7 linked regions of the Ovis aries genome follow. The protein of the gene in region 4 interacts with the protein of the main gene of each other region in a pairwise test. Links are inferred from orthologs where the notes say so. Each region holds a gene or a part of one and is shown on either strand. Other genes may lie near its edges. The genes, in order: LAT, GAL, antileukoproteinase-like, SGTA, CD99L2, SDC4 and F11R.

Region 1 (4,087 bases), on a different chromosome or scaffold from region 4:
GAAGCTCAAAAGCCCCTGGGAATTGTGAGGTTTAATATTAATAAGTTGGTTGGGAAGATCCCCCAGAGAAGGAAATGGCAACACGCTCTAGGATTCTTGCCTGGGAAATCCCGTGGACAGAGGAGCCTGCTGGGCTACAGTCCACAGGGTTGCAAAAGAGTCAGACATGACTTAGTGACTAGATAACAACAACAAATACACATAAAACTCTTTAGCTGCGAATGTATGAGGTCCTCAGTAATGCGAGCTGCTTTAATCATGACTTTTTCTCATTCAGTTCAGTTCAGTTCAGTCGCTCAGTCGTGTCCGACTTTTTGCAACCCCATGAATCGCAGCACGCCAGGCCTCCCTATTCATCACCATATCCCGGAGTTCACTCAGACTCATTAGCAGTGATTATTTCAGGGGCAACCAGTAAGTATGATGGCTGAATTGTGTGAGTAGATGGACGAACATGAGTGAGTGAATGAATGAATGAAAATAAGCACTTGGACAGATGGTTTGGGGCCCAAGAGAGAGGCCATGAGTTAGGGATGATGCGGATGGCAAATTAAGCCAGGGTGTGGACACGATGGCACAGAGCAAGCATAGAAGGAAAAGAGTAACGGACACTGAAGATCACAAGACACTGATAAAAGCCTCCAAGAGGCAGGATGAAACCAAAACGAAGAGCGAAAAGTAGCCCAAAGGAAACTGAAACAACACTGGAAGCAGAAGAAAACTTTCCAAAGAAACCCAAAAAAGACAGCTGATCATCACTATCCTTCGAGATCTGCAAGATGATATCACCTTCATAAGACAAGAGAGGAGGCTCTGAGAAAGGAATATTCAGAGATGAAGAAAGAGCTTTTGGACAAGAAAGACAAAAGCTCGGAGCCCAAAGAAGAATAGAGTCAAGGAAATCTTGCAGACAAAAAGGCAAACGATCAAGAGGGAAGAGGAGAGAAAAGAAAAGAAGATCGGAGCCGGAAGTCCCCTAGCTGAAGGACAGGAGGGCTAGAAAGAGAGAAGCGAGAAGATGGAGGGGCGCAAGGATCCAGGAGGAGAGGGAAGACCGAGGAGCCGCAGCACGGAGGGGCAGGGAGTGGTCAGACGGCCGACTCACTGGAGAAGGCGCTGTCTCGGAGGCCGGGTTTGCTGGGCGCAGGAGCCTGTGAGACGGCGTTGCCAGTGCTGGTGGCCGGGTCCCTGTCAGGAAGCACCACCCTGCGGGAGTCAAGGGTCAGGTGAGCGAGGAGCCCTGGCCTCGGCCCCCACCTCCCACCTGGCCACTCACAAGTAGCCCTCATTGTTATAGTCTTCGTCATAGTCATCTTCATCCGCATCCTCACAGGCTGCCTCTGGGGGTAACGACACAGGGTCAGCGGAGCCCAGGACGGGTCTCAGCCGCCTCCCAGCCGGGGCCACAGGGGTCCCAGTCACACCCTCGTTCTCGTAGCTGGCCACGCTGTTGGCTGCAGAGAGAACGCAAGAGGGAGACTGAGTCAGCTCGGAGGGGGCCTTTACCCAGTGGTCCCAGCCCTGTGGGTCCCGCTCCAGGCTTACCGCTATCTGAGTCCTGCCGGGACGACGCCATACGGTGGGAGCCTCCGAGGGGCTGCGGGGACCTTCTGGGCGTCAAAGGTCAGAGGTCATACTAGGGTGGGGCTCTAGGGGGAGAGGGCTTGCAACAGGGCAAGAGGCCCCCAATCCAAGGAGGTGAGGGGTTAAAGAGGGGATTTGGTACTTACGGGATGGGGAGCAGGTCTGGCTGGCTCGGGAGCGGGTAGGGAGTGGTCGATGGTCGTGGGACGAGTGTGGCTGAGGACACAGGACCAAGCTGAAGGAATGACTCCACACCTCACACCCCTACCCTGGACAAGGCCTCGAAAGGCAGACTGACCCCTGCCACCCCCAGGGCCCTGGAGAGTCCTGGGCGGGCAGACACGATCTCCCTCCCCACCCCCAGCTCAGGCCATGTGGGCGGCCACAGCGGGGAAATGAACAAAAGCACACGCTCTCCCAGGCCAGGGGACCCTCTCCCCGCACCCAAGGGAGGGGACACTCATGTACTCACGAGGCAGTTTGATCATGATGCTACTTGGGGTCAAACTGGCAGGAGAGACAGAGCTCAGGTCAGCAGCTGGGAGAGGCCCTGGACCCCACCCCAGGCCCCCAGGGGCCCAGCCCCACACGGGGCATTGAGGGAGTCGAACGGGGTCGACAAGGCAGACTCACCTATCGGAGACGGCAGTGTCGTATGAGCCTGGGGAAGAGAGGGCCCGTGAGGCAGGAAAAGAGGGTGACGAGGGCAGAGGGTGATGGAGTATGGGGCTCTCAGCGTCTCCGCGTGCAAGAAAGAGTTACAGACAGTTAAAGGGAAGGAAGAGGTCAGAGAATGGAGTGAGGATCCCTAGCAGTGTGTCTGGGCATCTGGTCAACCCACTGGCACCCACTCACCTGGCAGCTCCCGGCAACGGACACACAGAGCCATCAGCAACACGGCCAAGAGAGGCAGCAGCAGGGGCCCCAGCACGTAGACAGGCAGGCTGACCGCCTCCATCTGCTTGGACCAGGCCCAGCTGCTCGCTGCACACCCCTCCACACAGAGAAGCAGCGGGCAAGGGCCAGGCCGGGAAGGGTACCGGCGGCCGGCTGAGAGCCTGAAGGCAGGGGTTCCTCTGGATCCCCTCCCCTCGCTGGGCTGAGCGGGTGTCAGCGCTGGCTCTGGAAGACCCTGGACCCCAGGGTGGTCAGGCCAGGGTCTGGGCTGGAGTCTGGGGCACCAGCCACCCCTACACAGACCCTGTGCCCCAGCCCTACCTGCCCCTCGCTCCGCGCCCGCCTCTCCTCAGCGCCTGCCTGCCTGTGGCAGGAAGCTGTGGTGAGCGCCGGGTGAGGGCAGGAAATCATCGGGGCTCAGCCAGCTGCACCCGCCCCCTTCCCACCCCCACTCAGCCAGTGAGGAGGGGGAGGAGGCCACCTCAGGAGCCACCCTGGGCCCTCCAGAAGGGTCAGCTGGTCTCCCTGGCAAGGGGCAACTCATAGCGGGGGTGAGGAGGGAAAGATGCTTCCAGGCCAGTCAGTGGCCGCGGCCTCCACAGCTGTGGCTCACGGAGGCAGCAAAGAGAGGCTCCGACACCGGGAATTCTGAGGGGCCCCTGGGTGTGCCCACCCCCACCTCGCCCTGGCTGGCCTGCGGAGGGCGGGCTCTAGGGGAGACACGGGCATGACTCACGGTCACACAAAGCCAGCTCACTCCACCCCAATGCTCACCGGCCCAGAAGGACAGGGCTTTGCCCCAGGGCCCACGGGGGTCACCCGACAGCCGCTGGGACCCTGGGGGTAGAGAGGGGGCATCCCCCACCATCCAGAGATCAGAGGTCCCTAACCCAGAGAGACTCCAGCAGGCACTTGGGGTTCTGGCTACAAATTTTATTCAGTTACAAATAGCACCGAGCCCCCAGGGCTGCTCCAGGGGCAGGGGCTCCCCCGTCCCGAGCCCCCAGTGTCCCCACTTGGCTACCCATGTAGTGTGTGGGAGCTGGAACACGGCCCAAGGCCCCTCCCGGAAAACGGGCTAGCCGAGGAGTTGGGGCCTGGGCACCTCCTGGGGTGGGCCCAGGGCCAGCTGTGATAGGTCTGCAGATAGCAAGCGGTGATCCCTCAGATAAGCACACTGGACACAGGGACCCGGGTGGAGCGTCCTCGCTGGGGCACCACAATCCGGTCATCGGTGGGCCCGGTTTCAGGCAACAGACCTGCCAGGGAAGAGAATCAGAGCCAGGGCTGGATGGACAGACAGACACAGGCCCAGGAAGGGGACGAACAAGCAGTGGCAAATGGACAGGGCAGCATTGATGGGCACACAGCAGGGCATGAGCTCATGGGTCAGGCAGCCCTGAAGCCGAGGAAGGGGAGGGCTGAGGACTGAGAGAGGCCAGGTACACAGGGCTGGGCGGGCAGACAGACAGACAAGCAGGCAGCATCATGAAGCTAGACAGGGAACTGTGGACTGACAGAGGGGAGGCCCGACCGACCCTGCACGTGCAGCTGAGCCTGCCGGCGGTCGCTCTCGATGAAGATGGCGGTGCCCAGGAAGGCCGCG
Region 2 (3,397 bases), on a different chromosome or scaffold from region 4:
ACGACTGTCTGGCTTCGCGGCGTCGCCTGTTTCCTTCTTGGGTCTTCGGTAGGGGGACCAAGACTTCTACCCTCAGTCCCCACGTGCTGTCCTTAACTCAGCATCAGCCTAGCACACCTCCTGATCCAAAGAAAGGCTGCCGTGCTTCGGACGGTGGCCTCCTGACCCACCACGTGACTCGCGCTGCCCTGTCGGTCCCCACCTCGCGCGGCCCGGCACCGCCGCCCCTCGCCACCCTGCACCCCCTGACCCTCACGCCCGCCTCCACGCCACTCCTCCCCCTCAGGCTCGGGGCTGCTGTGGCCGTTCCCATCTGCCCATATCAGCCGCAGGAGGGCAGGGCTCTGTTTGTGGTTTTGTCTGTCTCAGAAACAAACTTGCCTTCATAATTATCTTTGACTCAGCTTCATGTTAAGACAACTTTGTTCCCTAAACATGAGTGACAACAGAAGGTGTCTGAGATACTCTAGATGGTGGAATTTGAGGGTAAAGGTTTTATCTAATACCCGTGATTATAAACAAGCATCATCCTTTAAAAACACATTGGTGGCAGTGGTGACAAGCCAGACACCTGGAAGGAAATGATCATCACAAGCCATTGCTGTTTTTTTTTTTTTTTTTTTAATTTTGCCACTCAAACTTATGACCAAAGGGAAAGAACCTGAAATGGCAAGGACACAGCATCAGGGCAGCGGGGATGGGGCGGCTGCCATGTGACGGGCACCCTCGCGGGGCACGACTGCGCGTGACAGGGGAGCCCGACACGCGCGGGAGCCCGCTCAGGACCGCTCGGCGTCTCCTGCGGACTCTGCTGTGGGGAGACCGGGCAGGTGCTCCAGGACCCCGGCGTCTGCAAGGGGAAGGGCCACACTCAGATCCCCCCGCATCAAGCCCGGCATCAGGCACGCGCCACAGTTAACCCCCACACTGGGCATGCATTTAGGTAACAAAAGTCAGTGTCCCCTAAGGAGAGAAGCTCCATGCGGCAGCATTCCAAACAGAGCAGATAGACCCATAAGGTCAGTCTGCCCTTGCTGGGAGAGTCACCCGTTTCCTCCACAGAGGTCTCCCCAGAGGCTCCACTGGGCTCTGGGTTCTGAGGTTTCCCAGTCCTTCTCCCACAGCCCCGCTGCCCACGGATGGTTCTGAGGGAAAGCTGCAAGCTTAAATCGCCCCCCAAAACTCCTCCCCCGCTAAGCCCTCCTAAAAGCAGTGGAGCCTGAGAGCAAGTGGATCAAGACAGAACCCAGAAAGCGTCGTCACTCTTCCAACTAGACAAAACGGGGACAGCCCTGGTGCCACCCTTGGAGGTCCCGGTGGTGACCTCTCAGAGCCCCTTCCACAGGACGGGTTTGATTAAGGCCAGACAGTCACTGGGGCAAGAGCGGCAGTCACAAGCACAGAAGTGCTGAGGTTGGATGGGCCACGGGGAGGCCCCCTCATCTGCAGTGTCCATGGAAGAGCCTAGATCCCAGGCCACAGAGCTATGGGGGTCAAACGCAGCCTGCCCCCCAGGAGACTGCCCGCGGTGAAAATGCAACCAGGACCCTGGGCTCCAGGTGGTCTGCGGAGAGCCTGGCTGTGTGTAGTGACTGCGGCCCCACGTCCAGGAGTCTGGGTCCACAGCACAAACGAACCCAGCCCCGGCCTTGTCACTGCTCCCGCCAGCGTGACTAGGTGTGAGGTAGACCCGGCTCCTCCCCAGGAGAAGTCCATGGAATCTTTTCTCCACAGGCTTCCAAGAGGTGGGGTTTCCCCTTGGGGTACTTCACGTACCTTTGAGATGCAGGAAAGTCAAAAACTCAATTATCGTGCGCACGACGTTGTTATCCGCCAGCGGTCTGTCAAAGCTTCCTAGAAACCAGAGGGGGCAGGGTTGACGACCGGGGTGCCCGTCCTAGACCTGGGCACCTGGGGGCACCACCGGGACGCCCCTCCCTCCTTCCAGAGCCCGGTTCAGCTCAGGGCAGGCCCTGAGACCCCGTGGCTGCCCCAGGATCTTACTCCCAGGTTTGGGGCGCCTCGTTCTGGCGGCTGACAGATCTTGTGGGGCCCAGCTCAGGCTCGGTTGTGAATCGGGCGGGCAGGAGACCAATACCCCCACGGCCCTGCGTGCCCTGGGATTAAAGTCCCCTCACCTGGCCGGGCTTCGTCTTCAGGCTCGAGTCCCCGCTTGCCGGCGAGGCCATGCTTGTCGTGAAGTGACCTGTGGTTGTCGATGGCATCTGTCGGCAAACCAGGGAGGAAAGCACCTGAGCGTGGTCGCCGTGACAGGACACACGGCTGCTTACCGCCAACCCGCAACACAGCCAGAGCGCACAAACCAAGCGCGGCAGGGGCGCCGTGGAAGGGGCAGGGCCACGCTCTGCGGAACCAGAGGACAGAGCCAGAGCCAGGGCGCCGCTCCCATCCAGGGGCTGGGGGCCCGCAGAGCCGGAGGGGAGCCGCCGGTCCAGACGGGGCCAGCATGCGCCTAGTGGAGGGCACTGGCTCCAGGCCTGGTCAGCGCGGGTGTGCCAACGGCGCCCCAGGGGGGCTGGCATTTGAACTGGGTGCCTCCCAGGCAGAGGACAGGGCCTGGGGTCCTATGTCCCTGAAAACAGGGGCAGGCGGAGCCACAGGATTTGCCCTTCTGATGAAAGCAGATTTTCTCTCTCTAAGACCACTGGCTGCTGTGAGGGAGACGGACTGGAGCCAGGGAGAGAGACAGGGTCAGAGAGGAGGAGGAGGAGGAGGGGGCGAGAGGGAAGGAGGGCGTGCGTGTGTGTGTATACACGTGAGTGCGTGCGTGTGCACGTGTCTACACGTGTGTGTGCGCACACGCATGCATGTTGGCTGGAGTGAAAAGCAGGAATGAGGTTGCAGGCAGAGAGACCCCCTAAGAAAGCACTGGACGGAGTTCCCTGGTAGACTTTGCGGTTTCACTGCTGAAAGCCCGGGTTCAATCCCTGGTCGGGGAACTCAGATCTCATAAACTGCAGAGTGTGACCAAAAAGAAAAAGTAAAATAAAAAGAACTGAAAAGAAAGAATGCAGACTCTGTGCCAAGCAGCCTGCAGTGAAGGGAAGGGCCTGACCTGGGGCCCTTCGGGGTAAAGGAGACCTGGGCCATGGTTTCTGGCTGCCGGGCCTGATGCACCAGGTCACCTCCAAGCCTGGGCAAGTGCGAACTAATGCATCTTCCCCCAGAGTCCTTGGCCTGCAGTGTGGAGGGATGACAAGCCCCCGGCGATTCAGGAGGCCACTGGGCGCCTCCAGGCTCAGACCGACCTCGGCAGCAAGCACAGTCTCGTGCTGACGACAGAAGCCGGGAGTACGGCGCGAAGTCTTAAGGGATTCTGACAAAGAGCTGGTCTAGATGGACAGCTTCTGCTGATCCAACTTGATGGTGAAAAACA
Region 3 (4,439 bases), on a different chromosome or scaffold from region 4:
TTAATTTCACCTTTCAGAAGATGAATTTCCTGGGGCCCTCTGACCCTCTCCAATCTGGTCTGGTAGTTCCGTTTTTTTTCTTTTTTCTTTTTTTCTTTTTGAAGTAGCAAATGTGCAATGCTTTCTTAAAATTTTTGTGTCGATGTAGAGTTGATATAAAATATTATATGTTACAGGCATATTATATAGTGACTGACATTTTAAGGGTTATACTCCATTTATAGTTATAGTAAAATATTGGCTCTATCCCTCAGGTTGTGCAATATATCCTTGCAGCTTATTTTATACATAATAGTTTGTACCTCTTAGTCCCCCTGGGTTTCCTGGTGGCACTAATGGCAAAGAATTTGCCTGCCCTTGCAGGAGATGAAAGAGACACAGATTTGATTCCTGGGTTGGGAAGATCCTTTGAACAAGGGTATGGCAACCCACTCCCATATTCTTGCCTGGAGAATCCTATAGATAGATGGAGCCTAGCGGGCTACAGTCTACAGGTTACAAAGAGTCAGACACAACTGAAATGACTTAGCACGCACACTTAGTCCCCTACCCCTGTATTGTCCCTCCCAGCTTCCTTCTCCCCACATAACCTCTAGTTTGTTCTGGCACTCAGGTCTCACTCTGGGATTTTCTGTCACCATCATCATGAGGACTCTCTTATTTTCCTTTCCTACATTCTACTTTGTGTATTTCATGCATTTTTTTTCTTGGTTTCACCTTAAGAGGATTTCTTTTGCTATTTAGAATTGTTTAAACTTCTCATCATGTAGCCAGTGTACAATAAATGTCCATTATGATCATGCAAGACCAGTGAGGATGACTCTGGGGTGTGAGAGGATTTTTTTGAGCATATGAAATGACATACCTGTTTCAACTGGCTCTTCAACTGACTGCTAAGAAGAGCCCCATCGGTTTATCTCAGGAAACAGGGCTCCAACGTGATTGACTTTGCATCAGTCTCACTCCCATTCTGCTAACAGGTAGTGTGTTCATTCTTCTTCAACTTCCTTCCACTCTTTTGAACTCAAGTTCCCCCTCTGTGATCTAGTCCGTTACTATTATCCCGACTTCACAACTGAGAAAGCTGAAGACCCAAGAGGTTTTCCTTGCTGTCCCCTCTCCACCTGTCATTCAGCAGATTCTCTGTGTGACTGGCACTGCAATTATATGTGGTAGTAAGCCAGGAGAGAATGAGAAAAAATGTCACCTGCCTTTTAGGGAAGGGAGTGACCCTGGGTAATGTGGTAACAAATGTGGCAATCCTCCAGAGCCCTGGAGTGTGGGAAAGTCATGGCATTTTCAGAGACCATGGTTCCAGATTTCTAACAAGTTCCTTTGTAATGTCCCGTTTGGCCCTCTTTGCCCCTCCCCGACTCCTCCCCAAGGAGGGTGATTCAGGGTCCCCTAACATGTTCCCAAGCGGCTTTCTGACACCACCCCCTCCAAGTCCTTCATTCCCCTTCCTAGTCCTCACGCTCTTGCCTAAGGGCAGGAAAGAGCCAGCAACACTGGATGGCGTGGTCACTGTCCTCACCTGAATTTCCTGCTGAGGAAATAGCAGCTGAGAGAACTCAGGGCAGTTCCGGTGGGAGCACACCCATCAGAGCGGGTATAAAGGGTGAGGCTGACACTGGTCACCACCGCCCCGCCTGCCCTCAAGATGAAGTCCAGCAGCCTTATCATCCTCCTGGTGATATTTGCCTTCGGATTCCTGATGCCCTGGACTGTGGAAGGTGCTCCCAAACGTGAGCTGGACTTTCTCAGGCCATACCCAGGTACCAAAGTCAATGATGGCTCAGCGTGGGAATAATCTCTTCTTTTTCGCCTGGGGGCTGGTCTTGAAGCCCTCTTTCCAATGGCCTATGGTCCTTAATTTCAAGCATGTCTCTGAGGACTTCAACTAAGAGAGTTTCTGTGCATCCAGAGATAAGCCCTTGTATTTCTTATTTTTCTTTCTCTATATCTCCTTCTTTACTGTTTTTTCTTTTTTCTCTGTCACATTATTTTGGTCACTATCTGTTTTAATTTTCCAAATTGTTCTCTGTTTCTCTTAATTTTGTTGTTGTTGTTGTTAATGGTCACTATTTTTTTCTATTTGCTTCTCAGTTGATCTGTTCTCTTTTGTTTAATCTCAAATGAGTGGCCTCTCTTGCTGTCACTGTCTCTGCCTCCCTCCCAGCCAGCCCTGGGCCAGGGATACCTGGCCATGAACTCTGTTCAGCCCTCCCTGGAGCTGACTTATACAGACATGCCGTAGCTGACTGTGAAATCTTCAAGACTTCTGTGAGGTAGTAGATGTCACATTGGTAGCTTGAAATAAGGAACAGTGGGAATATTTACACCAGGGAAACTGGCAAACTCCACAAAGTCTCCCTCTTGAAAGATTTAGTGGCACACCGCCATCTATACCTTCTCTCCCGTTGACTCCCTCTTGGTTGAGGGTTTGGCTGAGCTTGCCACTGTCCCACATCGGCCTTGAAACTGGAATCCTAATGGCTCCCTTCATTCCTTTGAGGTCAGCTACTTGGGTTAGGCTTTCTCTCCTCACCTGGTTCCTTCTGGAGGATTGTGATCTTGACTCAGTGCCAGCTTCTTCCTCCTTTGTTCTTACCCTTCAGAAAAAGGCAAACCTGGAGCCTGTCCTTTCGTCCGCCCTGTGCTGTGCTTTGTATATGAACCGCCTGAGTGCCAGAGTGACTGGCAGTGTCCGAAGAGGCAGAAATGCTGCCAGGGTCTTTGTGGCATCAAATGCACGGATCCTGTAGACACGTCAAAGCCAGGTGAGGAAGTCCAGTCCTGGAAAGGGGGATCAGGGAGGTCTGAGCTTGAGGACATGCTTCTTGGGCAAGTGGAGGGGGCTCGTCTGAACTGGGGTGCAGGATGGGATAGAGTCAGGGCTTCTCCACCCCTTCTACCCGCTCTGTTTTCTCAGGTAGACAGTAGGCCAGCTGGTGAGCCTGTCAGCCAGCAGGTCAGTCAGTTCATGAATAGTCTGTCTATCAGACACACGTATGTCAGACACTAGTTGGGGTCCCGTTGGTGGGAGGGAGTCTTCTTTAGGACACGCACCAGCCTCAGATTGGATCCTGAAGGTAGGGAAGAACCAGTTTCCACGCATGGGGTGAAGATGGAGTTGGGAATTTGGGTGATGTGCCAAGGGGCGAAGCCTCTGAATTGTGACTTTGTTTTCATCACTTAAAGTCACTCCTGGGAAGTGTCCGGTGGTCACTGGCCACTGTGAGAGGCCCAACCCTGTAAACATCTGCCAGGATGACAGCCACTGCCTGAATGGTTTCAAGTGCTGCAGGGGTCCGTGTGGGAATTCATGTGTCCTGCCGGTGAAAGGTGAGGAGAAGATCTAGCAAGCTCCGCATCCCCCTGGACCTTAATATGCTCTCAACCTAATGGTACCTTTGTATGTGAAAGAGGTTGCTTGACATCTTCCAGTACTTCCCCATTCCCTAAGCAGATGCTCTGCGCTTCAGTGACCTTTACCCCTTAGATTTCTCTAGACAAGTCCCAGGAGGCACCTATGACAGGCCGTGCTGGGTCCTAGGAAGGAAAGCTTCTTGGAATAAGGCAGGAGGAAGGAGAGTGATACAAGAGGCAAAAGTTCTATCTTTGAATATCATCTCTGCCTCTGACTGACTATGTGACTATGAGCAACTGACTATTTCATCCTCCACCTCAGTTTCCCCATCTGTAAAATGGACACAATTATATCCATAGCGATACTAAATGTAAAAGTGATTTTTAAGACTTGAAGTACTATTTGCATTCAGAGAATTTTGCTATGGTTATGGCCTCGATTGGCTGAGTTATCTTGAACCACAGGGGAACTCTAGCAAGATGCATAGATGTCAATCTAGCCCAATACCCTGATTTTATCAGAGGGCATCAGAGAAGAGCCTGTGAAAAGCCTGGATTTTGTCTTGATTCCTACATCAAAGGCCAGCACTGTTTCAATGATTCCAGCACAATGCTCTCTACCTATCCCAAGGGACCTAGGACTTGGTGGTGGAAGGACCATCTTGGTGGGACAGATATAAGGGTCACTTAAATAATTCCTGTGCTGAAGCTCCACTTTATTTTCTTTCTACAGATTCATCCTTTCCAGGTCAAAAACATTAGGACTTCCTGGTCTGTGTGCTCTGGGGATTCCCCCTACTCCCCACCCTGCAAGCCTGGAAAACAATGAAAGCACCTTGGTCAAGATGTGGTTTTGTGACCAATACTCCTTTGGGGACAAGATCTGGCCTGTTTTATCTATGTATCCCCAGCATCCAATGTGAAGCTTGGCACACGACAGGAAATGCCTATTGATCAGTGAATAAATAAATGTACTAGGTTTTCTCTGCATTTCCATCTTCCTTGACTCTTTTGAATGTGGACTAGGGTATGAGGAGTGAGATGAAGAATAAAATGTCTGAATGTGCGGG
Region 4 (2,888 bases):
ATGCCAGTCCACTCTTCTGTGGGACACTGCCAGGACCTGCCTCCCCTCTGCTCTGCTCGAGCTCTCATGCCCACAGTAGCATGAGGGACAGACTCTTCCCCCTGAACTTCCTTTGTGACCTACTGGCCACCATCCAAGTGGCAGGGAACATGGGGAGGTCCTCAGCAGGACAGAGCAGCTCAAGGTCACCAGAGGCTGAGTACACCCACTGGAAGCCACAGAGGTCACGGCCAAAGAAAGTGGTATGGCCCCAAAGCATTCCCACAGCCCAGCGACCCGGGGGAGTCGAGTGCAGGCCTGACACCCCCTGCACCTACACCACACGTCAGCCTCTGGACAGGGAGTGAGCCAGACCCATCCACACCTGGATTTAGCCCAAGGGGGTCCCCAGTCTGACTTCTGGCCTCCAGGATGGAGACACTGTGTGTAGTTAAAGGCCACCAAATTTGTGAGATTGTCTTCAAGGTGACAGGGAAGGCACACACAACCTGGGTCAATGGTTCAGGGTGACCCATGCAGGGTCCACACTGGGGGTTCCAGGAAGCTCTGGGAGGTGAGGGGGTGGGGGCAGAGTGGCACTGAGAGGTCCACATGGAGGCCAGCAGAGATCACGATGTCTATTTATTCCCCACACGTTATCTCGTCATCATGGTAGCACTCATGAGTTAGGACGCCTTGTGGGATGTGTGTGGGGCTGTCTCTACGAGTTACCTACACACACGGTACTGGTACGGTGTCACCTCCCACAGGACCCGACACCATCAGGGAGCCTCCAGCGATCTCATCACCAACACTGTGGCCCGAGCTGCGGTGCCAGGGACCCTCTCCACCCTGCCCTGGGCTGCAGGGACATCCACAGTGGCTGCCCGGTGATCTCAGGCCCAGGCAGGTGGTCATCAGGGACCCCCATAGCCCTGACCCCCAAGCAGGAGGAGAGCCCGCTGAGGATGCAGGCAAGCCAGGCCAGCAGGACCACCACCTGTGGACAGAAGGCAGTGGCTGGGATACACAGCCAGGCTGCGACAGGCTCAGGAGCCAGCTCAAAGGTCATGAGAAGGCCCCTCACAGTCTGTCAATTGTAAGCACTGGGAAAAGCATGGCGATCAGACCCGAGTCCATCCGAGCACTGGACTGGAATTTAAGTCCCAGAAATGGGTTGTGTGCACCCAAGACGTCTGCTTCGGCCCCCGCTGGGCGCAGAAACTGCCTCTGGGGCACTTGCAACTGGAGTTCCTTGTCTGAGAACCCAGGTCTGCTGGGCCGGGCTGGCTGGCAGTGAGCTCGCTTGAGCAGGGGTGGCCAGGGAGGCCACGGTCAACTCAGAAAGCGGCTTCTCGGGGGCTGGGAGGCCCTGCAGACAGACTGGGAAGGCAGGCGGGGGCTGAAGAAGGGGCTTCGGGGCCACGGCATCCCACAGGCCACTTCTCGGAGAGCGGTGAGAAGACCACCCCCACCTCAGAATGTTCTAGAAAATACTTTAGTGACCAGGTCTTCAGGGCAGGGGGCCAGGAGGGAGACGGGTGCTGGTCTGCACTCACAGCTTGCTGGCTCTGTTTCAAGAAGGATCTGGGGGCCGTGAGAGAGTATAAAAAGGGAGGGAGGGGAGGAAGTAAAAGTAAACATCATAAAAATCCGGCTTAACATGCAGGTCCAAGTTCTTTTTCTCTCGTGGGCGATCCAATGGGAGGAGACGGAAAAGGTCAAGAAGGCTTCCTGTAGGCCGGGAAGGACCCGATGGCGCTGGGCAGGCTGGAGGGAGAAACACCTGAGTGGGCCCACCCGGCAAGAGACCTGAGGGCCCAAGGTGCCCCCCAGCTCCGGGGACTCACGGGGCGGTCACTCCTGTTGGTCATCATTGCTGGCACTGGGAGTCCGACTCCTGATCTGACTGCGGAGCTGCTCTATCAACTCTGGGTTCTGTTGCTGCATCTGCTGAGCGAACTGCTGGCCCCTGCAGGTGGGGGCAGGGGAGGCGTGCCTGGGCTCAGCCAGGTCCAAGGCACCCACCCAGCCGCCTCTCCCTACCTGACGTGCCCCTGGAGGGCAGAGGGACCACTCCCTGGAGGATGAGGCCCCACAGAGCACCCGGGGACCTTGGACCCTGCCCCACCCAGGAGCCCCACCTGGCAGGTCTACTCACGCCTGGATGAGACTGGCCAGGTCATTCTGCGAGGGGCTGGTGCCGGGAGTCCCCAGGGGGTTGTGGCCGCCTGAAATCATGCCGGACATGCTGCAAAGAGAGTCCTGGACTTGAAGACGGCTCAGCCCCCTTTTCCCGCTGCGGCCCTGCTTGACCCTTCCCCCCTGCTGGCAAGAGACATTACCTGGGACCCAAGTCCCCCTGAGCCCACCCTTCTGACTGTAACCTGTCAATTTCACCAACTTTCCCAGGAACATCCATTTTTGACTTAAAAACAGTGATTCTCAGTGGGGCAGTGCTGCCCCCCAGGGACACCGGGGCATGCCAGTGACACATAAGACCGTAGAATTTCTGAGTCCACTGATGTGGAAACACCGTCAGGCCGATCCACAGACGGGTGACTGGTAGTCAGGAGCTGGGAGACAACGATATTGGGGGTGGGGCTTCATTTTGGGGTGATGGACGTTCTGGAATTAGATTGTAGTGACCAACTACAGGACATTATAAGCGTACTAAATGCCATGGGACTACGGACCTTAAAATGGCTAAAACAGGAAACTGTATACATCTTTTACCACAATAATTTTTAACCACAAGGTCCAAAGAAGAGAGGACTTCCCTAGTGGTCCAGTAGTTAAGAATTTGCCTTGCAATCCAGGATTTGTAGGTTCAATCCCTGCTGGGGAACTAAGATCCCACATGCCATGGAGCAACTAAGCTCACGCACTGCAGCTACTGAGCTCGCATG
Region 5 (4,122 bases), on a different chromosome or scaffold from region 4:
TTTCTAGGACGTGCTCCATCCCTGGGTATATCTGCATTTACAATCCCTCCTTTGCTTATGCAGATAAACCTGAGTTCAAGTCCAAAACCTTTCTGGACCACGTGTTTTTCATCCAAGCTATGGGTTACCACTCAGTTACTTTTCAAGGCTGTATGCAAACAGCCACTGTGGGGGTAGTTAGGAAATGTAAATGAGTGAGGCACTAAGGGCCTGGCACGTGGAAGACACAGAGGGAGTGGAGCTCTTGTGCGATTGTCACCCACCTGTACCATTGAGATCCTTCTCCCAGAAAGTCAAAAGCACAGCTTCCCATTTCTGTCGGTACAGACAGGTGACATACCTGTCCTCAATTTTTCAAAACTAGTAAAATACACAGTGGACTAACAGGAATGCCTTAACCGCCTTCTCAACTCCTGGGAGCCTAAAGTCTGTCTTGACATGCCAGAGCCTGGAAGGATTTCACACATTGCTTCGAGGTTCTGAGCATTTTCTGAGTCCTGCCGGGCTCTCTAAGTCACACTTCATTACTGAGGACCAAGAAGAAAATGGCTCTTGGACAGGCACACCTGATCCACCACTTTGGGGCTTCCGGAGAGTCAGTGGGGACCTGAGACCAGCTCTGAAAGTGCTCGGATCCCCCGAGGGAACCACCAATGCAAAACCCAGATTTGTCACCTTGATCTGCACAAAAGAACCAGGAAACTGAGTCCCTACCTTGAAGCAAAAGATCGTTCTGGTTCAGCGTTAATTGAAATGTAAAAAGATCACTAGGAGGCCATCCTAAATGGGTGTGATCCTGGGTCTCCAGGGGCCTCTCATCTGGTAAGTGGGGATAGTACCTAAGAAGCCAAACTCCTGGGGCAGTTAAAGAGAGAGAGTGTGTGTGTCTGGTAAGTGGGGATAGTACCTAAGAAGCCAAACTCCTGGGGCAGTTAAAGCGTGTGTCTGTATGTGAAACTGGATGAGCAAACCAAGTCACGTTCTGGCTTTCCCAAGGGCACTTGGCCAGTAAGGCGTAGGAGGGCCACCTCCAGGTGTAAAGGCATTATGCCTAGCGCTTAAAAGCAAGAACTGGAATTAGACAGCCTGGAATCAAATTTCAGCTCTGCCACCTGAGGCAAGTTACTTCACCTGTGTGCCTCTGCTTCTTCCTCTGTAAGCTGGCTGCACCCCTTCGCAATTTCCTCCACCACTCTATAAATCACCCAGTGTAACCCATGATGGTGAAAACCTGAGACCCGATCACTTAAATTCCTCATCTTCTCAAAGTGCCTACCATGTTGAAGACTTGCAGAAGACAGCCTTGAAGGCAGTATCCGTTTTCTAACTTTTTTGGGCTTCCACTTCCAACTGTTCCATATCATTAGATGCATGTCAATCAAGTGATCAAACTTTTTTTTTTTGCCACAAATGGATCATAAGCAAAATAAAAATTGTAACTCCAAAGAAAAAAATGGAAGAAAAGTCAACAACCCTGTAACCTGCTTTGTTTTGCTTCACTGTGCTGACAACATAGTATATAGACTATGATCAGTCTGTGCTCATTTTCTCCCCCACCAAGATGTCAGCTCCACAAGGACAGAGCCTGAAGTTCGTCCACTGCTGCAGCATCCGTGTCTAGAATGGCACCTTTGTAGAATGCTGAATGGTCCTTCTTTTCTAGACTCCAGGAGGGTTGACCACATGAGAAACATTTCTGCATCTTTTGCAAAACTGCCTTGGACTGTCTACTGTTTCCCAGTGTTCCTTATAATAAAATAACCCACACTAGAATGCAGTTATAGGACACGATTTTGTTTTTGCTGAGCTCATGTGTTTTTCACTAGCTAAATCTGCCCTTGTGTCAGGAGAGCTCAGAGCACAATTCTGCGCTCAACTCCAATGTTTTCCTCAACCTCTTTTTCTGAAGAGGAAATGAGATAAGCAAGCTAAGAACATTTTGCTGGGACTCCTTGGCGACCCTATTTTTAGCCACAGACTGCATTTATTCTAAGATGCTTGTCAAACTTGAATGTGCCTGTGACCTGGGGAGGTAGTAAAAGCAGAATCTGACTCAGCAGGTCAGGGGCGGGGCCTGGGATGCGGCATCCCTCACTAGTCCCAGATGATGATGCTGCGGGTCTTGGAACTTGCTTTCTTGATCTGGTAGACTTGCTCTCTCCTTCTCCTGGAGAAAACATCACCAGTGGCTCGAAAACTGGAAGGGGTGCCAGAAGCAGCTGCGGGGGCTCGTTGGACTTCCACACCGCCGTTCCCCGTCCACCCCCATCCCCGCCAAGATCCTGACAAAGTAGGAGTGAGCCCCAGAGGCTCCTCGGGTGCTTCTGCTGCAGGTGGCCTAGAAACACCTTTGGAGAAGCCTTGCTCAAGGGAACGAGTGCTCTCTTCGTTTTCCCAACGGCAATCTCCCGGGGACAGCTGTTGTCACTGGTGGAGAAACCCTGTTCAGGATTTTAAGGGGGGACGCTATCGCTCTCTGTAGCCGGGCACCAGGAAGGGTCCGGGTCTCTTCCCACCCACCACAGGGGTCACAGCAGGGTCGGCCCTCTACTCGCAGTTCTAACCCAACGTGCCGCACGGCCCCGCCTGCCCCCCGGCGGCCTCCGCAGACGGCCCTCACGCGGGGGCCGCGCCGCTCATGCGCACCACCGGGCCCTTGGGGCACCGGCCCCCAGCCCCGCCGGCCTACAGGGCGGGGACCCCGCGTGCCCCCGGCCCGCCTTACCTCTCTGGACAAGTGTGGCCAAGGAGAAAGCGAGGCAGATGAGGCACGCCCAGCGCCAGGCCACCATGGCTGGGAGCCGGCGGACAGGGCCCAGAGGAGCACAGTGAGCGCGAGAGAGCCCGAGAGGGAAGGTCGGGGAGGAGCGGGGAAGGAGGAGGAGGAGGAGCAGAAAGGGGAGGAGCCCTCCCCTCACTGCAGGGCCCCGCCCAAAAGCGCCGCGCGCGCGCGGCGCGGCCCTGAGAGGGCGGATGGGGGCGCGCACGAGCTCTGGCGCCAGGGCGTGCCGGACCGGTGAGGTGGGGCGGGACCGCGACTGTGGCACGAGGGGCGGGGCGAGCCTGCAGCCTCGGGGGCGGGACGGCGGCGCGGGGGGCGGGGCCGCAGCCTGCGGGCGGTGCTGGCGCTTGAGGGGCGTGGTCCGCGGGCACCAGCAGGTTGAACGGTCTGGGTCCTGGCCAGCGCCGGCGCGCGACTTGCGGGCCCAGTCACACCCCGCCCTCGAGAAGGAAGTCTTGGAGGTGGGCCCTGCGGCCCTGGAGCTGTGAGTCAAAAGTGACTGGGAAAAAAAAAAAAAGAAAAAAAAAGTGATGGGGACTCCAATTAAAATTAATTAATAAAAAAAATTTTTTTTAAGTGACTGGGGAGCCGGAGGCGCCGGCAGCGAAGGTGTGCAGTGATTTCCACCTGGCGCGCGGGACACCTCCAGGGTCAGAAGCTGGACCCGAGGCGGCGCACGAACCTGGTGCGTTCTGCCAGCCTGGTGACCTTGGACAGGGCTCTTCCCCTTGTGGCCTTGGTGTCCTCCCGGTCAAGAGCTGTTCCCTGGGGGTCCCTCCAGCTGCGGCGCCAGGACCGGGCACCCGCGCTCCTGCCCCTGTCACCTTGGCCGAACTTGCTTGTCAGAACCATGGCTGCACTCAGACTTGGCTGATCCTGCAGTAGAGCCCTGCCCAGAGATGGGAAAAAAAAAAAAAAAAAACCCGTTTTGATGGCTGGCAAACAGCGGCACGTCTTGAGGAAATGAGCCTGAGGCCGGGGGCCGCAGGTTCAGGCTAGAGGGAAGTTGAGGGGCGACCTGCAGCCAGAGCGCCGCGGGCCCCGGGGACGAAAGAGGGCCAGGGTCAGCTCCCCGAGGCTTTGATGAATGCACTGAAAGCGCCAGTTCACATCTGCAGCGGCGATCTGTAAATGTGCTCAGTGATCGACACACGCGCCGCGTTCCTTTCCAATGAACCCCTCAAACAGAGTCCATCTCCAGGACCAGGCGAAATCAGATTCCTACCCTGACTGTCACAGCAAAATGCCAGCTGCAGCCTTTGACGAGAGCACTCTCAAGAAAGGCTCTGGCTGCAGCCAGCTTTCAAAGACAAAGAGAAAGCGTCACTGCTCCCAGAGTC
Region 6 (3,660 bases), on a different chromosome or scaffold from region 4:
ATTCCCAGGGGATTCATTTGAGAAGACTCTAGATTGCAACAGTAAATATCAGAAATTCCAATATGAATGTATTTACTCAGAACATGGTAAGTGCCCAGGGCTTTTAACTCAGTCTAATTTTCTATTCCCATGTTACAGATTAGGACACCAAGGCTCAGAGGTCACAGAGCGGCAGTTTGAACTCAGGATTATGTGACTCCAGAACTCAAACTTCACATTGTTATACCACCCCACACAGAGGAGGGAGGCTTTTCAGTAGCTCTGTCTGGCCTGGCAGCCAGGGCCAGGAAATGACCAAGAAAGACGGGGACCCTGGCCCGGCCCCAGGAGGCCCCTTCACTGATTCCCAATCCCATCCTCGCAGAAGCAGGGGTTGGTTCTCGGTTCCCTCCCACAGCTCTCCTCACCCTGCCCCCAGGCTCCTGAGCGCTCTCTTTGCTTTTCAAAGGAAGGAAAACAGGCCACAGTTCAGTTCTCCTCCCAACGCCCACTCCCACCCAATCCCGTCCAAAGGCGGACAGGTTCGGACTGGTTTTCTACTACAAATGGACTCGGAGCAAGAAACCATTCGCCTGGAAAGGGTCTCAGGGATGGGTTGATCCGGTTACTTTTGTTCACCCCATCTTTTTTTTTAACGGGGAGGGGCACAATAGGAAAATTCAAGCCCCAAAGTGGGGTCAACCTTGTAAAAGACAAGTTCTCTGCAGCCTTGAGCCCCAGGCCGGCCCCCTCCTCCTTCCGTACCTAGATCTCCAGAGCCAGACAGCTCAAAGTCATCGGATTCCTGCCCGGGCCCCCCGATGTCCTCGTCATCAGGTAAGTCTCCGGAAAAGTATCGGCCTTCCAGGAGGTCTTGAGGGTCGATGACCTCAGTTTCTCGGATCTAGGGTGAGAACAGGAGACACGTTAACCAGCAGCTCCCCCTGCCAATGCTCTTTAGCAGCCCCCGAGCCCCGCAAGGCAGTGAAGCGAGTGCTCAGGAACGGGAGCTGGGGTGCTGGAAGGGCATCAGGCTAGAGCCTACCTTGCTGTGTGACCTTAGACAAAACCCTTTCCCATTCTGGGCTAATTAAAATAATGAAGGTGGCATCATCAGAATATAAATATGCTAGGTACCCTATACTGAGCACTTGCTATAGGCCAGGACCTGCTCTTAATAACTCTAAAGACCAGTCTTCACCTGTTTTACAACCGAGGAAACTGGGCCCTGAAGATACTAAGTCATTTTCTTTGGGTGACTCGTGGGAGCAGACGGAGTGAAGACTGACTTCAGAGCCAGCGTTCCCAGTCCACGCTCCGGGGTGCTCTGATGCTGTCATTGCTGATTCACCCACGGCAGGGAGAGGGCTGCTGGCTCTGGTTTTGCCCTGACCCGGACATCTTTCCCAGCTGAGTCAGACCAGGCTGGGACAGGCAGGGCTGGCTCACTCACGTCCCAGGACAGCCTCGGGTCAGGGCGCTGCCCGGAACCTGGTGAGTCAAGTGTACGTGAGCACACTCGTGTCTTCAGCCTTCCAAACATCTCCCACGGGGCCATTCTGCAGCCATGCAGTGTGGAGCCCCATCCCTGCTCTCATGGACTGTCCACTCCAGCTCCCCTAAGTACCCCTCCGCTGCCACGAATGGGGGCCCCAGCCGTCCCCAGCTAGAATCTCAGGTCCACCGCCACTGAGTAGCTTTCACAAGGAAAGCATGAAAGATCCAGGAAGGCAAAGAGCTGCCCCAGGACCTCCAGAACATCAGCCACCCTGCTCCCAAACCTGCAAATTCGACCGGGGAAAACAAAGCTCCTTCTAGAGAGTCAGAAATACTTGGGATTCACACCACCCTCTCAGCTAGCTTCTGGGCTGAGGCTTTGTCTGCCCATAACAGCAGCCCCAGGGCAAAGTTCATTCTTTCACTAATGAACTCAAATATTCTAGTGCCTACCATTTCCCAGAAGACTCAGGGTGGTGAATACAAACCCCTTGCCCCAAACATTCTTCTCCCCCCTCAACCCCCTAACTACAGGAGGTGTGGAGAGGGGCGGGGTCTGCTCAGAACCGAGGAACACCAGCTGGAGGCCAGGGAGGTCCTGCCCTCCCATTTCACAGAAAGGGAAAGAATCTAAGCTTCCTACAGTGACCTGCCTAAGGTCACACGGTGAGTCAGCTACACACTCAGAAAAGAAGCCAGGCTCTGTTTCTGACTGCCCCACGCTGTCCTCCACCCAGCAGAGACCTGCCAGGGACAGAGAGTGGGCCTGGAAAGGCACATCCGTCCCTAAGACAAGGTTACCCTCTGTGGGAGAGGCCCAGGCTTCCGGGGAGAGGTGGGTGGAAGCAGACTTTTGGGTCTCCTTCCACCCTGTCTGTCTGTCTGTGTGGGGCAGCTGGATTCCCGGGAGGGAGGTCAGGCTGGGAGCGAGATTTCTCCCCTCCCACCACGGAAGGGAGAATCTCCGCTGAACGCCTGGTACACATGGGGGTGGGGAGCGAGAAGGGGTTAAGCCCTGGTGAGGGATGACTTCATGACTCGGGAATCAGGAGCTGGGGAGCTGCTGGCGCTGGAATTCCAGCCCCCACACAGCCCCTTGCCTGTGGCTTTAGTTTGGCAGCTCCAGAAGATGGCTCCACTGTGGTTGCGCAAGCTGCCTGCACCTAGGGCGGGGTCCCTGTGCTCCCATCCGCATCTCCTGCTGCAAATTCCCCCGGGGGAGGTGGTAAGGGTGGGGGGCAGAATCGGAAACATCAGGATCTAGGCAGCTTACCAAACTAAGCACTTAGCTTGAAGTAGGTCCTCCTCATAGCTCTTATTTGCTGAAACACTGAGGAGGGAGGGGGTTGGGGGGATGCTCAGAAAATTGAAGTAACTCGCTCAAGATCACCCAGGCAGAAAGTGGCCACTCTGGACCGGAACCCAGGCATAGGTCACCCGAGCCTTTAGCCACATACAGATCCACACACCCATAAACACACGGGCACACAGAGTGTCCGCCTACCTCGGCCAGGATGGAGCCTTGTCAAATGGCGGTCAAACTCAGCCCAGGAAGTAAAGAAGGCAGTTTGGCCACTTGCGTATGGAGCCTGGAGACCAGTCAGAGCTCCAAGTACTCAAGACAGGGGCTGGAGTTTCGACACTGGGCTGTTTCAGGCTGGGCCCTTCCCCTACCTCCCCATCCCCAAGAGCCATGGCTGTTTATTTATGGATCCTTCCTTTCTCTTAGTGGGTGAAAGTACTGAGGAGTGTTTCAAAACCACCCCTGGGATTAGCACGTTGATTCGCTGTGATTGGTAGTGGCTCTCTCTGTTTTACATCAGGAAGTGAAGACCAAGTCAGAACAAAACTCGGACTGAAACCTAGATCGATTCCCAGTTCAGCCACCTTGGGGGTCACCGGGTCATCGCTAACTCTTCATTATTTTAAATCTATTTTTTAATTGTGGGAAAATTGCTTCACAATGTTGTGCTGGTTTCTGCCATCCAACAATGCGAATCAGCCACAATTATACATATATCTTCTCCCTCTGAGTCTCCCTGCTCTCCCCAACTACAACCCTTCATTTTTATACTAGCTTCCTGGAGAGCATAAATGACTTGAATTAAGGTCATGCCAAGAATGGTTCAGATCCTGTCAGATCTAGTCACACAAGGGTTAGATGCCATTGGGTACCCATCCTGG
Region 7 (4,426 bases), on a different chromosome or scaffold from region 4:
ACACCAGGCTTCCAACCAGGTTTCCACTTCCCCTGCGGTCACAGCAAAAGTCATCCTAGAAACACACCATCTTGCTAAACAGAAATGCCTCTTCCCGCCTAGGAGATAGCTGGAAACCTTTTTTAAGCACAGGCTCTCTAGGGGGAGGGAGGCCAGTATTCTTGGTCACCAGTTTTTCTTTTCCCAGGCCCAGCTCTCCCAGTGTTTACTCTCCAACCCTGTCCCAGCAGGTTCAGGCCTTCTTCTCCACTAGATTCCCCCGGCAGGAGGTGGGCCACTAGTTGATCTTTTCCTCTCCCTCCCTGATGACAGAGTCCACGTGAGGAGCAAGGACATGCAGGCATCCTATATAAGCTTCCACTATCCCAAGGGCAGAGGACAGACTAGACAGGCAAGAAAGCCCCCACTTTTTCACTCTAGCCATTTGGAATCTAGCAGGGTCCCTCCCTGCTTTCTCTGACCTGCTCTACTATGGGCAGCATTCTTTCACCCTCACAAAATCCAAAGGAGGGTAATAGCTGCCCACTAATAATCGCTTTCATGTATGTCATGTAGCTATTATCCCAGTTGATCCTCAGGATGAGGTTAGGACAAGTATTATTACTCCTGTAATACTCTTGTATTACAGATGAAAAGACTGAGTTACTAGACTATGGTCACAAATAAGCCAGAAAGTCAAGCCAGAACGCAGGTTGGGGGTGGCCTGGTTGTTATTTCCATTCTCACTGTGCTAACCAAATAGCATCTCCCAGGTCTAGCCCTATTTACATGTGACAAGGTCAGTTCCTCCATCTCCTGGACATGCTACTTCCCAGGATCCACTGTCCTGTCAAGCTAATACAATATCATCTCACATTCCCTGTAAACCACTGTTTATTGATTCCCTGAGCAGACTAGAGGGTATTCCCAAGCTCAGACGGGTGATATCACAAGGCTTTCAGTGTCAATCCGTGATAATATATTTTGGGGTTATTCTAGAAAATGAGGGGGGAAGAGGAAAAGGGAGAAGGAAGCAGTTCTAGGAGTCTTATAAGTCTGACAAATACTGTCACAAATACAGTTACTAACTCAGAAATTTCTAGGTTGGGAAGTGGGGGGATGAGTACAAGGGTTGACAGGGTTGTCAAAGTGTTTAGTACTGAGCACCACACCCAACAAGAAAATGACTCTGGGTGTCACTAGCAGTTCTAAGATACAGACAGAAGTAAATGGAGAAGAATGGGAAGGAAAGAATGGAAATTGAAGAAAGGGGGAAATGGAGGAGTAGAATGAAAGGGAGAAGTGAGAAAAGAAAGAATCTAGTGAGAAAGAAAAATTGAAAAAGGCAGGTGAGACAGTGGACTCTGGAGCAGTATCCCAAACTGATGTTTTGATATGCTGGTTCCTGTGTCACAGGCTGCCTGAGACAGGCCCAGGGGCAGAAAACAGAAGTGAGTCAGGAGACTTTGGTTCCAGTCCCAGGTCTTTTGGTCAGTCTTATCAAGTCATTTCCCCTCTTTGTACCTGTTTCCTGATCTGCACAATAGGGGGAGGGAGGATCTGACTTGTTACTGGTCCAGTCCATCCCAAGGGTTAATGTGTTTGTGACAAGAAACAAAGGAGTCGTCAATTCATCTGTCTAAGGGCACCCTTCACACTAAGCAAAATGAATTATCTTGTAACCAGCAATATTGGTCTTAATTGCTCATCTCTTCTACATTTCCTAAAATAGCGATCTTGAGGAGGAAATGGAGATTCTTACAGACCCCCTGCCGACACAACTATTCACGGTAGCACACACAGACACTCAAGAATCAGGTAAGGGTACAGGGGCTGACACAGGTAGACTAAGGCACAAACCATAAACTCAGTCAGGCGCAAGCACAACTATGGACCAGAGGCCTGCCCCAGCAAGTGAGCCTCATTGTTCCACAGGAAAGGGAGTTTACAGAGGAAACAAAAACTCTCAAACATGGCCAGGGGGGAGGGCAGAGTTCTGGCTCTGAGAAGGAACCAGCCAACCAAAAAACAGGACCTTCCCCTGGGAATGGTATCTCAGTCAACAACATTTACTAAGGATTCCTGAAGTAAGGTATGCTAGAAAGGAACTTGAATGCTGTGCTAAGAAATTTTAAATTTCAATTTTATGTATTGCCTTCCAAAAAAAAAAAGGTTTTGCAACTGGACACTTTTCCTGGAGCAACCATGCAACCCAGAAATTCGGGAAAAGCTAAAAAGACCCTTCAGCAACAGCCAGGGAAAGGGACTTCCACTCCAGTCGACCTCCATTAGATTTTCTCTGAGGACCCTTCAGGAGCAAAACATCCCAACAAAGTCAGGGGACAGGAGGCTCCCGACAGATTCCGGATGGTTCGCGGATGCTGGAGGGGCAGGATGGCCCTTCCCAGATGCGTGATCCTGGCTGGGCAGCGCCTCCGAGCCCACCAGCACTCACCAGCAGGTGAAAATGGAGGAAAGGGGAACCAAGCTTTCCCCGTTATTTTTGGTAAAACCGCGGAAGAGGCAGCTCCCTCCAAGTGGATATAAGAGAAGATCCTTATTCATAAGTGTGGGGGAGGGGAGCCGGCCACTCACCAGGGGAAGGGGGAAGGGAAAAAAGAGGGATGAGTCTAGGGTGGAAAAGAGGACTAGGAGGGTGAGCCGGACTGATTTCAGAACCCCTCCCTCTCGCGAGCCAGCGGTGTGAGGAGCGCCTCCCTCCAACCTCTGATCAGACGCACAGATTACTCCGAAAACTCCGGGAACTTACACAGGACCATCGACGTGAAGAGAAGCAACTCTGTACTGCCGACTTTCGCCTTTGTACCCATCACGATCAAGATCCCGATGCGACAGCAGTCACTGCGACACTAGAAACACACACAGCTTCGCCTGCAGCCGCGCGGGGACTAAACTCCAGACGCCAGGTTGAGCCCAGCCCGGCCCTTCCCTTCACGCCCGATTGGTCAGCGCCGCTCCTCTGCACTTTCCGATTGGTGGAGGGAGCCGCCGCTCCTCTGAGTGATTCACCGTCGCCAGGTGCAGTCCCGCCCACTATTCCCTGTGAGGCGGATTGGAGCCTTTCCAAGCCCGATCCGCCCCTGATTGGGCTAGGAGACTGTCGCGTACGGAGACCCAGGCCTCACCTTCTGCAGGTGAGGACTCTCTGATTGGGCGGCGTTCCTGAAGTAGGGACTTTACGACTGGCTAGGTTCTGAACTGGAGCCGGAAGGTTAGAGGAACACCTTGAAGAAGGTGGTCGGGAAGGTAGTTGTTCTGTGAGACGCGAGAGAGAGAGGCCTGCTTTTGTTTGTTCGTTGTAATGCTTTGTTTATTCGGAATGTAAGTTGGAGCTGCAGAAATCTTGGTCCAGTCCTTTATCAAGTGAAAACCACGTGTATTAATATGTGAGGGTCGGGAGAGAAGGCCCTCAAAGTGTGTTCCTCTGTCCGCTCCACTGGCAGGATTCAAGGCTGCGTTAGAGGAGGAAAGGGAAAGGAGAGGGGAATGAAGCGCTCAGTTCAGTAGTGGGAAGGGCAGAATCGAATCACCAAACACACCCAGATAATACAAACTGACCTACTGACGCTCTATAAACATCACTGTGAGTGACTGTGGGTATGTCCTTTACACATGTGTAATCAGTCAGCAGAGGTCTGCATTTCAGTAGTACTTATCTTCTCACTATGGATAATTGCATGCCTGCTAAACTCTCTTTCTATAGGCTATGTTGATACTGTTAATATTTATATTGCTACATCGTTTTTATTTGAAACCCATTCTCAACAGCTAATATTTTACAACAATTTTACATTGTGATCGTAATACTTTTTTTTTTTTTTTTTAACTTTTTGACTGCGCAAGGCTGGATCTTACTTCCAGATCAGCAATTAAACCCACGCCCCCTGGGAAGTCCCTATTTTTTTCTTAGTATATCCAGGTTGCCCGTGGGAAAACTTCCGGAACTTTATCTCACTGCAAGTAAGAAGTCCATAGTGAAGTGAAGTCCTTCACTCGTGTCCGACTCTTTGCGACCCCATGGATTGTGGCCTACCAGGCTTCTCTGTCCATATGATTTTCCAGGCAAGAGTACTGGAGTGGATTGCCGTTTCCTTCTCCAGGGGATGTTCCCCACCCAGGGCTCAAGACCCGTCTCCAGCATTGTAGGCAGATGCTTTTACCGTCTGAGCCCCCAGGGAAGTCCATTACGTGAACATGAAGTCACTCAGTCGTGTCCAACTCTTTTCGAGTCCCCATGGATTGTAGCCTACCAGGCTCCTCTGTCCATGGGATTTTCCAGGCAATAGTACTGGAGTGAATTGCCATTTCCTTCTCCAAGGGACCTTCCCAACCCAGGGATCGAACCCGGGTCTCCCGCATCGTAGACAGACGCTTTACCATCTGAGCCACCGGGGAAGTCCATACTTGTATCCAAAACAGTGGTATT

What was found.
Region 1: the proteins of SGTA (region 4) and LAT interact in binary tests that used the Homo sapiens proteins (3 or more experiments, as listed by UniProt). The two-hybrid records come from large-scale screens. The link is inferred for Ovis aries from reciprocal best matches to the Homo sapiens genes SGTA and LAT.
Region 2: the proteins of SGTA (region 4) and GAL interact in binary tests that used the Homo sapiens proteins (3 or more experiments, as listed by UniProt). The two-hybrid records come from large-scale screens. The link is inferred for Ovis aries from reciprocal best matches to the Homo sapiens genes SGTA and GAL.
Region 3: the proteins of SGTA (region 4) and antileukoproteinase-like interact in binary tests that used the Homo sapiens proteins (3 or more experiments, as listed by UniProt). The two-hybrid records come from large-scale screens. The link is inferred for Ovis aries from reciprocal best matches to the Homo sapiens genes SGTA and SLPI.
Region 5: the proteins of SGTA (region 4) and CD99L2 interact in binary tests that used the Homo sapiens proteins (3 or more experiments, as listed by UniProt). The two-hybrid records come from large-scale screens. The link is inferred for Ovis aries from reciprocal best matches to the Homo sapiens genes SGTA and CD99L2.
Region 6: the proteins of SGTA (region 4) and SDC4 interact in binary tests that used the Homo sapiens proteins (3 or more experiments, as listed by UniProt). The two-hybrid records come from large-scale screens. The link is inferred for Ovis aries from reciprocal best matches to the Homo sapiens genes SGTA and SDC4.
Region 7: the proteins of SGTA (region 4) and F11R interact in binary tests that used the Homo sapiens proteins (3 or more experiments, as listed by UniProt). The two-hybrid records come from large-scale screens. The link is inferred for Ovis aries from reciprocal best matches to the Homo sapiens genes SGTA and F11R.

The regions. Positions count from the first base shown.
Region 1 is NC_056077.1:26,377,461-26,381,547, forward strand, and holds the start of LAT (linker for activation of T-cells family member 1), read right to left. Parts: upstream 2,853-4,087; 5' UTR 2,543-2,852; coding exon 2,440-2,542; intron 2,324-2,439; coding exon 2,218-2,323; intron 2,092-2,217; coding exon 2,057-2,091; intron 1,801-2,056; coding exon 1,731-1,800; intron 1,611-1,730; coding exon 1,546-1,610; intron 1,455-1,545; coding exon 1,277-1,454; intron 1,207-1,276; coding exon 1,106-1,206; intron 1-1,105. Other genes in the region: SPNS1 (protein spinster homolog 1), read right to left, coding at 3,646-3,740, 4,020-4,087. UniProt on the Homo sapiens protein: Required for TCR (T-cell antigen receptor)- and pre-TCR-mediated signaling, both in mature T-cells and during their development.
Region 2 is NC_056074.1:42,496,162-42,499,558, reverse strand, and holds the end of GAL (galanin), read right to left. Parts: intron 2,226-3,397; coding exon 2,139-2,225; intron 1,855-2,138; coding exon 1,777-1,854; intron 851-1,776; coding exon 780-850; 3' UTR 598-779; downstream 1-597. UniProt on the Homo sapiens protein: Endocrine hormone of the central and peripheral nervous systems that binds and activates the G protein-coupled receptors GALR1, GALR2, and GALR3.
Region 3 is NC_056066.1:73,486,935-73,491,373, forward strand, and holds antileukoproteinase-like, read left to right. Parts: upstream 1-1,527; 5' UTR 1,528-1,660; coding exon 1,661-1,775; intron 1,776-2,618; coding exon 2,619-2,780; intron 2,781-3,201; coding exon 3,202-3,345; intron 3,346-4,102; coding exon 4,103-4,131; 3' UTR 4,132-4,359; downstream 4,360-4,439.
Region 4 is NC_056058.1:18,712,545-18,715,432, reverse strand, and holds the end of SGTA (small glutamine-rich tetratricopeptide repeat-containing protein alpha), read right to left. Parts: intron 2,231-2,888; coding exon 2,141-2,230; intron 1,952-2,140; coding exon 1,837-1,951; 3' UTR 604-1,836; downstream 1-603. UniProt on the Homo sapiens protein: Co-chaperone that binds misfolded and hydrophobic patches-containing client proteins in the cytosol. Mediates their targeting to the endoplasmic reticulum but also regulates their sorting to the proteasome when targeting fails.
Region 5 is NC_056080.1:84,661,187-84,665,308, reverse strand, and holds the start of CD99L2 (CD99 antigen-like protein 2), read right to left. Parts: upstream 2,860-4,122; 5' UTR 2,793-2,859; coding exon 2,726-2,792; intron 1-2,725. UniProt on the Homo sapiens protein: Plays a role in a late step of leukocyte extravasation helping cells to overcome the endothelial basement membrane. Acts at the same site as, but independently of, PECAM1.
Region 6 is NC_056066.1:73,576,635-73,580,294, forward strand, and holds part of SDC4 (syndecan-4), read right to left. Parts: intron 884-3,660; coding exon 745-883; intron 1-744. UniProt on the Homo sapiens protein: Cell surface proteoglycan which regulates exosome biogenesis in concert with SDCBP and PDCD6IP.
Region 7 is NC_056054.1:112,481,005-112,485,430, forward strand, and holds the start of F11R (junctional adhesion molecule A), read right to left. Parts: upstream 2,891-4,426; 5' UTR 2,811-2,890; coding exon 2,750-2,810; intron 1-2,749. UniProt on the Homo sapiens protein: Seems to play a role in epithelial tight junction formation. Appears early in primordial forms of cell junctions and recruits PARD3.